Macaca fascicularis: one gene and its partners. The main gene of each other region encodes a partner of the protein of the gene in region 3 in a complex. Links are inferred from orthologs where the notes say so. Each region holds a gene or a part of one and is shown on either strand. Other genes may lie near its edges. The genes, in order: SOS1, PLAAT3 and KRAS.

Evidence for each region.
Region 1: the proteins of KRAS (region 3) and SOS1 are in contact, whole or in part, in a crystal structure (PDB 8BE4), measured with the Homo sapiens proteins. The link is inferred for Macaca fascicularis from reciprocal best matches to the Homo sapiens genes KRAS and SOS1. Residues at the interface, in NP_001356715.1 of Homo sapiens: Ser17, Ala18, Ile21, Gln25, Asp30, Glu31, Tyr32, Pro34, Thr35, Glu37, Tyr40, Asp54, Ile55, Leu56, Asp57, Thr58, Ala59, Gly60, Gln61, Glu63, Tyr64, Ser65, Ala66, Met67, Arg68, Asp69, Gln70, Tyr71, Arg73, His95; in NP_005624.2 of Homo sapiens: Lys602, Trp809, Thr810, Lys814, Leu822, Met824, Ile825, Arg826, Thr828, Thr829, Thr832, Leu833, Leu872, Val875, Ser876, Asn879, Ser880, Ser881, Pro882, Tyr884, Ser908, Asp910, His911, Tyr912, Lys913, Phe929, Phe930, Gly931, Ile932, Leu934.
Region 2: the proteins of KRAS (region 3) and PLAAT3 are in contact, whole or in part, in a crystal structure (PDB 7C41), measured with the Homo sapiens proteins. The link is inferred for Macaca fascicularis from reciprocal best matches to the Homo sapiens genes KRAS and PLAAT3. Residues at the interface, in NP_001356715.1 of Homo sapiens: Ala11, Gly13, Lys16, Ser17, Tyr32, Asp33, Pro34, Thr35, Ile36, Thr58, Ala59, Gly60, Gln61, Asn85, Asn86, Lys88, Asp92, Tyr96, Lys117; in NP_001121675.1 of Homo sapiens: Leu65, Tyr66, Asp67, Val68, Ala69, Gly70, Ser71, Asp72, Lys73, Tyr74.

The regions. Positions count from the first base shown.
Region 1 is NC_088387.1:83,183,313-83,186,451, reverse strand, and holds part of SOS1 (son of sevenless homolog 1), read right to left. Parts: intron 2,297-3,139; coding exon 1,805-2,296; 3' UTR 1-1,804.
Region 2 is NC_088388.1:10,818,234-10,821,883, reverse strand, and holds part of PLAAT3 (phospholipase A and acyltransferase 3), read right to left. Parts: intron 861-3,650; coding exon 592-860; intron 1-591. UniProt on the Homo sapiens protein: Exhibits both phospholipase A1/2 and acyltransferase activities. Shows phospholipase A1 (PLA1) and A2 (PLA2) activity, catalyzing the calcium-independent release of fatty acids from the sn-1 or sn-2 position of glycerophospholipids.
Region 3 is NC_088385.1:27,972,667-27,976,766, forward strand, and holds the start of KRAS (GTPase KRas), read right to left. Parts: upstream 2,846-4,100; 5' UTR 2,667-2,845; intron 1-2,666. UniProt on the Homo sapiens protein: Ras proteins bind GDP/GTP and possess intrinsic GTPase activity. Plays an important role in the regulation of cell proliferation.

The DNA of each region.
Region 1 (3,139 bases), on a different chromosome or scaffold from region 3:
TCTTAAAGGACTACATACTGTACTATCGTGATGTACATTTTGCGCTCTAATAAATATCATAGGAAATTATTAAAGTACTAGGTTCCCACCATGTTGCAGCACTTCTACAAATGTCTCTTAATAGCGTGGTTAACAGAATTGCTGAAATGTTGCTTCATTATTCAGAGGATACATGCAGATGCTGATGAACCAGATAACTCTCTAAGGATGGAATACTGCACATTTCACAGACATTATAGTGGAGATTAATAAAATGTTTTCTCTTCAACAAGGTGCATGCATTTCAGTCACAGTATTTGTTAGACTCAGAATAACAGTACATACGCTTTATGAATAATCCATATTATGATAGTAATGATGCAGGTAGATGTTCTGTCATGAATAGTTTTGATAAAGCAGAAAACCTCAAGCAAGGTAGAATGTTCAATAGAAACCTTAACACACTGTACACATGTTGCTTAGGAACTTAAAACTTACAAAGTTCTGCTTAAAAGATACCCATCCTATTCTAACCAAGTATCTTCCTATATGCCAAGCTGTGACTTTAGATCATTCTTTAAGATTAATACATATATCCAGAACTAGAAACCAAGGCGTACCACAAAACGTGCTTTTATGTTTAGTGTTTTTGTGTGTTTTTCAACTAAAAGAAATAAGAATCAACCATTTTCTTCATATAATAATTTAATATATGCCAGCCAAACAAAGTATTTGTATCTTTATTCAATTAAATTAAAACAGACCTGCCAGGTATATTATATAACATTCACTATATACATATGATTTAGGCAATGCAAGATAATTCTAGATATGCTGATTACTCAACTATGAGTAAAACATGAGCGGTGTCAGTGATGCCCAGCAAGTGCTCCTTTTCACATTGGGTGTCTGCATTTCCATGGTATGGTTAGAGGGATAGCTACGAGCCATGACATGGACTACCAGTAAACTTTTGTGGGAGAAGGAGGGAAAATGACAATCTAGCATAGATTAACAGTCTCCTAAATGCAAATAGAATACTTGACAGTTATGTTTTTTTAAAAAGTTCTTCTGTCATGTTAATGACACAAAACTTCTTTTTTGAAGGCAACACCACCACATTTTGTTTGGGTGTGTGGGGACAGGTGGGGAATGCTCTTAAAATTGGTATAATTATTCCTAAAACAACAACAACAACAAAAAAGTACCTCTTTGGTGAAGCCTCGGTACCCATTCAGTTCACCGTAATAATCTGTAAACAGGACTGTAGTACAGTGCCGGGCCTTGATTTCAACAAGGTCAGGTACCACAGCCTTTCCTCACAGTCCTTTGAGTGATTTTTAAGAAAATATTCTGAAGTAGAAGAGTAAAGCAAAGGAAAACAAAGGAAGATATTAAGATCCCTGTTTACATTTTTTTTTAAAAGTGCATAATTTGAATTACAAAACCTGTCATCATGTGGGCCTGCTGGACACTAGACTGTGTTTTCCATCCCTTTAATGATCACTTCACAAAAGATCACTTCACAAACACTTCCCAAAAAGAGGACTCCTGCCTATTGGCCAGAAAAAGTCCCTTTATGATTTTCAGGTGCAATCAGTTGTCCAATTCCTCTAGGTCAGTCTTTCCATATTCTAAACTGGAATACCATTTCCATGTTATAATTACATCTAGGTTAAAATTCATTGTCTTATACTGCATCTTGAAGAAGAGTCGTTAGTGTTTGGAGTTCTCATTTTAACTCCTCAGTGCTGGCACGTTCAGTGCATCCATTGCCAGCAATGGATTTGGGGCCAGGAAAATATACATCCCAGTACAGAGGAACTCAAGAAGAATGGGCATTCTCCAACAGTGGTGGTCCATCTCTGTGCATGGATGGGTGTGTGTGCTCCCTTTTGTAAGTTTTTGGAGGGAGTTTAGGGATATGTTGAGAAGTGCTTTGTCGTGGAGGAACAGGCGGCCCAGCAATGGAATGAAGGTCCACTTCTTGTGTCAATGGTGGTGATGGCAGATGCCTTCTTGTGCCGTGAGGAGAAGGTGTTTGAGGAGGAGGTGGTGTAAAGGGGGATGGGCTGTTTGGGAAGAAGGCATTGCCATGGTCACTTTTTTTGCCCAAAGGGGGAGGTTGGAGATGTAGTGGTGAGCTTGAGAAAACATCAGGTGTCCTCACAGGTTCTCGTGGTGGTAATAAGGGAGGGCTTTCAGGAGGGTCTGAGATAGAGGTCCGGTCTGATATTGAATATCGTGGTGAATAGGCTTTTGATGTGGGTTGCCTAGGAGGAATGGCTGGGGGGCTGTCCAAATGCTTAGACATAATCTAACAAATGAAAAGAAGAATAAAATACACATTTATTAATAAATTTATGAAGTATCATGACTATAAGAATTAAGTTGGGGTTTTCAAACATGCTATTGGCAGGATGCTAAGTGTGGAACAGGGAGTTTTGCCGTATGTTTCCTTTGTAATTAAAAAAATTTTTTTTGAGACAAGGCCTTGCTCTATTGCCCAGACTGGAGTACAGTGGTGCAATCATGGCTCACTGTAGCCTCAACTTCCTGGGCTCAAGTGATCCCCCGACCTCAGCATCCCAAGCAGCAAGGACCACCATGGCTGGCTAATTTTTTCATTTTTTGTAGTCAAGGTCTTGCTCTGTTGCCAAGGCTGGCATGTGTTTTAAATGGAAGGTTCTGCCAATTCATAGAAAAAAAAAGTTTGCCAAAGTTTTTACTTAAATTTTTTTCCTCAAAATTTTGTTGTTTGCTACTGCTTACTGACTTAGCTTATCAATCAAAGATCATTTCTAATTTAGCATAAATTGCCTATTTTATAATTTTAAATTAACTATATTAACATTCATGAAGTTGTACAAAGAGTGTCTTGACTTACCCTGGTGCTCTGCACTCTGGACAGCTTAAGAACTAATGCGTTAAGTTAACAGCTGGCCCCCCCGCCAAAAAAAGTAGGTAGAAATAGCTATTTTGAGCCTTTAGGGTCTCTTCCAAACCCAGAATTTTCATGAAAACTCCATTTAAAAGTATGTCAGATTTACTATTAAGGGCTCAGATAAGTAAATTTTAGCATATGTCAAGATACAGTTTGACTTATAATGTGTCTTCATACAAAGCTTCAGGACTATGTTTTTAAAGAACTGCTTGAAAC
Region 2 (3,650 bases), on a different chromosome or scaffold from region 3:
GGAGAGGAATGACAAAAATAAAATCAAGTAAATGAACAAAACTGCATCCCCTAGTGTCTCCCAGATTCACCCTTAGGGTTCAGCCAAGCTGAAGACAGTGCTGTTTAGAAGCATGATCCGGCTATGCCACACAGACCTGGGCTTCAAATCCCAGCTCTGCGAATTATCTGCACAGGAAAAGACAGGTACCAGGTCTGGAGACTCAACAAAGATTTTTTTGATGAAACGAATGGCTGTAGACAAGTTACTTAAGCTCAGTTTCCCAATCTGTAAGGTAGTGGGTCCTAAAACCTGCCTTTAGGGCTGGGAGGGCCATCTCAGGGACACGTGGCTAGGGAGGGCTTGGTAACAGGAATGAATATCATGTCTGTGACTCCCTTCCTTGGCCACTCACCCCCGGCCCCGACTACACTGATCTGCCAACTTGCCTCTTTCCCCACCCTTGTCCCCACTCCAACTGTGACATCCTTAAGGGCAGTAATTCTGTCTCTGCTACTTTGTCTTGTTCATGCTTCCATAGCCATGCCCAGCCTCCGTCAGCTGAGGGAATGGTCTTGTTCCTGGGAAAGGCCACATGGGCGGAGGACGCACCTGGTCACTGCGGGCGACTCCATAGCGCAGCTCGTTCACAAAGTGCTCGCAGTTCTCGCTGGTCAGCTTGTAGAGCACCTCCTGCCCCACCAGCTCCTCCGCCCGCTGGATGATTTTGCTATAGGGCAGCGGTGAGTACTTGTCATCATGTTTGTTGTTGACCTGGTACTTGTCACTCCCGGCCACATCATACAGCAATTCCTTCTTCACGATGGCCTTGTCAGTCAGGGCAGACATGACACTGGCTGCACCCGCTCCTGCAACCTCACCTGCAGATCCACAAAGAGGAAACGGATTGGTTCTGGGAAGGGCCACAGAGGCTCAGAGATGGCCCCCAGCAGGGTATCTGCCTTTGGCTCCATCCACGTAGGATAAGCAACATGTGGAAGGGTCAGATGCGTGGCTGTGGGCCTTGGGGGAAGGTGTGTGCCCATAATCCCAGCTACTCAGGAGGCTGAGGCAAGAGAATCGCTTGAACCTGGGAGGTGTAGGTTGCAGTGAGTCCAGATTGCACCACTGCACTCCAGCCTAGGCAACAGAGCGAGACTCTGTCTCAAAAAAAAAAAAAAGATAAAAATAAAACATTCCAGAAGGCCAGGCGTGGTGGCTCACACCTGTAATCCCAGCACTTTGGGAGGCTAAGGCGGGCAGATCACTTAAGGTCAGGAGTTTGAGATCAGCCTGGCCAACATGGTGAAATACCATCTCTACTAAAAATACAAAACTTAGCTGGGCGTGGTGGCACACGCCTGTAATCCCAGCTACTCCAGAGGCTGAGGCAGGAGACTCGCTTAAACCCAGGAGGCAGAGGTTGCAGTGAGCCAAGATCATGCCACTGCACTCCAGCCTGGGCCACAGAGCAAGACTCCGCCTCAGAAAAAAAAAAAAAAAAAAAAAAAAGAGGGTCTATAACAGTTCTATTCATAGCAGTCAAAACCTGCAATGAGTCTGATGTCAGAAAAATGGATGCTAAATTGTGGCATATTCATATAACGGAAAATACACAGCAGTGAAAAAGATCTCCTGCTACTCACAGCAGCATGGATGACTCACATGGGCATGATGTTTGCTAAAAGAAGCCAGACACAAAAGAGTGTGGGCCGTGTGATACCTCTTCCATGAAGTTCTAGAACAGGCAAACCTCATCTACGGCAGGAAAAGCTAGAATGATGGTTGCCTGGGCGAGGGGTGCAGAGGGGATATTGTAGAAGCACGAGAGAACCTTTCAGGGTAAGTGGCACAGTGGGAATGTTCTAGTTGTTGATCTGGGACATTGTTACATAGATGGATTTTTTTTTTTTTTAATTCACTGACTGTATACTTTACTATGCTTGTACATTTTACAATATTTATGTTATACCCCAGTTTAAGTTAAAGGCTTAAGAGAAGGGTGAGGAGTTCTCACGAGAGTTCTCCAAGTTAAGTATTCATATCCTCAGTTTGCAAAAAAGGAAACCAAGGCTGAAGAATGGAAACTGGATTCATAACCAGTCTCTCTGCCAAACACCCGCACTCTTCCCAGGAGCTTTACGCTTAAGAGTTGAGTGTGTTGCGGCCGGGCGCGGTGGCTCACGCCTGGAATCCCAGCACTTTGGGAGGCCAAGGTGGGTAGATCACAAGGTCAGGAGATCGAGACCATCCTGCCTAACACAGTGAAACCCCATCTCTACTAAAAATACAAAAAATTAGTCCGGTGTGGTGCCAGGCACCTGTGGTCCCAGCTACTCAGGAGGCTGAGGCAGGAGAATGGTGTGAACCCGGGAGGCAGAGCTTGCAGTGAGCTGAGATCATGCCACTGCACTCCAGCCTGGGCAACAGAGTGAGACTCTGTCAAAAAAAAATTTTTGTTTGAGTGTGTTGCATACAAAGTCACAGCATAAAAAAAATCAAAGCAGAGCTCCCTCCTCAGATACCACCTCGGTCCCTCTAAAGCAGCGGTCCCCAACCTTTTTAGCATCAGGGGCAGGTTTTGTGGAAGACAATTTTTCCATGGACTAGGCAGGGGGGAGGGATGGTTTGGGGATGATTCAAGCACATGACGTTTATTGTGCACTTTATTTCTATTATTATTACATTGTAATATATAACGAAATAATCATACAACTCACCATAATGCAGAATCAGTAGGAGCCCTGAGCTTGTTTTCCTGCAACTAGACAGTCCCTTCTGGGGTGATGTGTGACAGTGACAGATCATCAGGCATTAGATTCTCATAAGGAGTGATATGGTTTGGCTCTGTATCCCCACCCAAATCTCATGTTGAACTGTAATCCCCACATGTCAGGGGAGGGACTATGTGGGAGGTGATTGAATCATGAGCAAGATTTCCCTCATGTTGTTCTCATGATAATGAGCGAGATTTCCCTCATGTTGTTCTCATGATAATGAGTGAGTTCTCACAAGATCTGATGGTTTAAAAGTGTGGCACTTCGGATGCGGTGGCTCATGCCTGTCATCCCAGCACTTTGGGAGACTGAGGCAGGTGGATCTCCTGAGGTCCAGAGTTCAAGACCAGCCTGACCAATATGATGAAAATCCATCTCTACTAAAAATAGAAAAATTAGTCGGGTGTGGTGGCAGGTGCCTGTAATCCCAGCTACTCGGGAGGCTGAGACAGGAGAATCACTTGAACCCGGGAGGTGGAGTTTGCAGTGAGCTGAGATTGTACCATTGCACTCCAGCCTGGGCAACAAGAGCAAAACTCTGTCTAAAAAAAAAAAAAAGTGTGGTACTCCCCTGCCTCCCAACACCGTGTAAGACCTGCCTTGCTTCCCCTTCACCTTCTGCCATAATGGTAAGTTTCCCAAGGCCTCCCCAACCATGCAGAATTGTGAGTCAATTAAACCTCCTTTCAGTCTCAGGTAGTTCTTTATAGCAGTATGAAAACAGATAAATACAAGGAGTGTGCAACCTAGATTCCTTGCGTGTGCAGTTCATAGTAGGGTTCATGATCCTATGGGAATCTAATGCCGCTGCTGATCTGACAGGAGGCGGAGCTCAGGCGGTAATGCAAGCGATGGGGAGCAGCTGTAAATACAGATGAGTTTCGCTCACTTGCC
Region 3 (4,100 bases):
TCCTCTTGCCTCAGGGATTACAAGCAAGAGCCAATTTGCCCGGCCCCTTCAATAATAATTTCTAAGAGTGTAGGCCCGGTATGGCGGCTCACGCCTGTAATCCCAACACTTTGGCAGGTTTAGGCGGGCGGATCACCTGAGGTCAGGAGGCCGAGACCAGCCTGGCCAACATGGTGAAATCCCGTATCTAAAAACACAAAAATTAGCCCGGTGACGGGAGCCTGTAATCCCGGCTACACGGGAGGCTGAGGCGGGAGAATCGCTTGAGCCTGGGAGTCGGAGGTGGTAGTGAGCCGAGATAGCGCCACTGCATTCTGGCCTGGGTGACAGAGTGAGACTCACTCTCTCAAAAAAAAGAAAGAGCGTAGAGGGGTCCTTAAGGCCAAAAAGTTTACCAGCCTAGTAAATACTGTGGACAGACACTGGATTAGAGTTTGTGTATATGTACGAATTCACAGCCACATATATCTTCTGGTTTACTTGTTTATGCGGTGGTTGTTTCCAGGAAAAAAAAAAAAATTCTTTGAATGAGATTTTTAAAACCAAGTCACATTTAAATCCACTAGAGAGAACTGGGCTCCAAAGTAGTCTTATCAAATGAAGATCATGGGCTGGGAGGAGCTCCCTTACTCACAGTTAGAAAAGCTAATAAGGAGTGGACTGGACTCAAATCCAACAATTTTGTTATGGAAGAAAATTCATTTTTATTTGTCATAAAACGGAATTACCATCCACCATCTCTTAAAAGCAAGTACACTGTGTATGGCTACAGTCTCAAAGTAAACTAATGTTAGCAACCATATTTGATATCTGTAGTCTATCACATGTAGGAGTCAGCATTTTGGACCTTAGTCACTTCAGTGACACCAGTTATATGGTTAATTCTGAGCTGATAATTACAAATAGACCTTTCCCCTTTATCACTTAGTTTTTAAATGCTATTATAAACATAACGTATATATTGTATAACAATTAGAAAACCTTTCTGTTTTGATAGAGCTCAAGATTTAAGAAGGCTTAGACTTCAGCTAGAAGATGCATAAGGCACTTTGGGAGGCCGAGGTGGGCGGATCACAAGGTCAGGAGTTCGAGACCAGCCTGGACAATATGGTGACACCCCTGTCTCTATGAAAAATACAAAAAATTAGCCGGGCATGGTGGCAGACACCTATAAACCCAGTTATTCGGGAGGCTGAAGCAGGAGGATTGCTTGAACCCAGGAGGCGAAGGTGGCAGTGAGCCGAGACGGCGCCACTGCACTCCAGCCTGGGCAACAGAGCAGATGGAGACCATCCTGGCCAACATGGTGAAACCCCTTCTCAACTAAAAATACAAAAATTAGTTGGGCACGGTGGCGGGCGCCTGTAGTCCCAGCCACTCAGGAGGCTGAGGCAGGAGAATCGCTTGAACCCTGGAGGCAGAGGTTTCAGTGAGCCGAGACCACGCCATTGCACTCCAGCCTGGGCGACAGAGCGAGGCTCCATCTCAAAAAAATAAAAAATAAAAAAGGAGATGCACATGTTTAAGTCTATTTCAGGCGGTTAGCTGGTGGATTGCTACAATTCCTCTGTAAGTTTAAAAAATCATGTAAAAAAAAATCACGTTAAGTGCTCTTTTGGAGTACTGTAATAACTCGTGAGATGTAGAACACATCTGCAAAATGAGGATATTATAGAAGAAATAAGGGATGAGAGTAATACATAAGAAATAAGGGGAAGGACAAGAACAGGTAAATTAAACTTCAAGTACTATTTTTGCTATTGCTGTCTACACTCAACTAGCAAGAAAAAAGCCTTGCTTCTGCTCTGCGGGTTTTCTTCGGGGTTTAACTTGACCAAGCAAAACAGACCTTCTGGGATTAACTTTTTCCTTTTCACTGTAGGTCACAGGTTCTACGTGTAGGGTGTTGGCCACCTGTTCTTCCACCATCTCTACCTCCACCTCCTCCTTTGTGGCCACAGCAATGTCACAGCCCATACATGGGGGAGGGGAGCAGTCAGGAACTCGGAGGCAGATGCATTTTTTTCCAAACACAATAACCTCCAACAGTGGTCTCTAAGCACTTTCCTACGCTCTTCCAAAACGTGACCTCGCCTCTTACTCACACATCCCCTACACACGGAAAAGGACCACTATCCCGTCCATCCTGCGCTCGAGGGAGAAGTTTATACCTTCGTCCTAGAGATGCCAAATGCAGCAGGGAAGGCTGGACCGAGGCAGCCGAGTGCTGGGAAGGGAGGCAAAAGGTGCGGGAGCAGGGAGAGGGGGAGGGGAGGCCGGGGCGCAGCGGGAGTAACCTCCACCGCACCCCACCGCCCCGAGGGGCAGCCGGCCCGGCCCGAGTTTCTCCCCAGCAGCCTCCAGCCGCGGCTCTCGGGGAGGAGGAAGGAAGGGGTTCCCCGTCCAGGAAGCAGCACAAGCGCCGACCGCCTCCAGCCTCACCCTCCTCAGCCCCGCACCGCCCATTCCTCACTCCCCGCGCCGCCGCGTCCGCGCGCCTCCCCTTGCAGAGCCCCCTCACCCCGCCCGCCCCGGCCCCGCGCCCGCGCCCCCCGCCCGCCCCTCCCGGGACCCCTAATTCATTCACTCGCCGCCGGCCCCGCCCGGCGCCGGCAAAGAGGGTCGGGACCCGGGCAGGGGCCCAGGAGGGGTGGTCCGCCTCGTACCTCTCTCCCGCACCTGGGAGCCGCTGAGCCTCTGGCCCCGCCGCCGCCTTCAGTGCCTGCGCCGCGCTCGCTCCCAGTCCGAAATGGCGGGGGCCGGGAGTACTGGCCGAGCCGCCGCCACCGTCGCCGCCGCCACTGCCGCCGCCGCTGCTGCCTCCGCCGCCGCGGCCGCCGCCTAGGAAAATCGAGCTCCGAGCACACCGATGAGTTCGGGGCCGGGCGGCCGCAGAGGGCAGAGCTATCGATGCGTTCCGCGCTCGATTCCTCTTCAGACGGGCGTACGAGAGGGAGCGGCTGAGGGCGGTGTGGGAAGAGGGAAGAGGGGGAGGCCGCGAGCGCCGGCGGGGAGAAGGAGGGGGCCGGGCCGGGCCCGCGGGGGAGGAGCGGGGGCCGGGCCGGCGGAGGAAGGGGTGGCTGGGGCGGTCTAGGGTGGGGAGCCGGGCCGGCTGGAGAGCGGGTCTGGGCGGCGCCTTGGCGGGAGGAGGGACTGCCGGACCCACGCGGCGGCCCGCCCCCTGCCTCGCCGCAAGGCGGTCCCCGCAGCCGCGGATTCTGACCCTGAGCGGGACCCGACCGCGGAGGGCTGTGCGGACGCCATCGGGGAGACGCCGCGAGCGGCCACGCCACGAGCGGCCCGGCTGACCGGTCTCCACAGAGAAGCTGCGAAGAGCGCCCCGCCGCCCTCGGGGTCGGCCTATACTGGCGCGCATCCATTTACTATCATTGACTGCATGTAAATAAACAAGCAGTCACCAAAAGTGGGAGGCGACTTCGGGTACTTAGGGAGACCCGGCGGACGATTTCCCACACCAGGGCTTTCCGATCGCCGCCCCGATTATTATCAGCCTCAGCACTCGGGCTGCGAATTTAGCCCCAGGCCCAAACAAACGCGACAGACCCTTTCAGCGCTAATCTCGGGTAGGAGGTTTGTGATATTTTGCTATCTTTCTTGATATTTTGAACCCCATCACAAGGTCTCTAAACAGGGACTTCGCATATACCCATGGCCCCTGAAATCACAAACAAAAGACAACTGTTGTTAAGTAGAGGTGCCCTCGCTAGTTTAGACCTGAGGAGAGTCATTCAAACATTAATTAGAAGACAGATTAATCAGTTAACGTTTGTAGAGTTAAGATATTAAACAATGGGGCAATTAAACATGCTAGCATACCCGGAGTCTGTGTTGATAAACTACCTAGAAAGGTACGTTGGGAGGGACTTGAGGATTGAGGGGTGGAAAACCAACGCCTGTGTGTGATAGGATCGCCCCTCCTCCGAGACTCTACTTTCAGTTCCATTTCTCTAGTCCACATCATAAACCACCAATAAAGCTGAATTTAAATCCGAGCTATTGTGTCTGTTAACCAAGGCTTTACATTAACTGTCATCTTTTCTACTCTTGTACGGGCTGTATTCTGCAAGGTTTATTCCAGT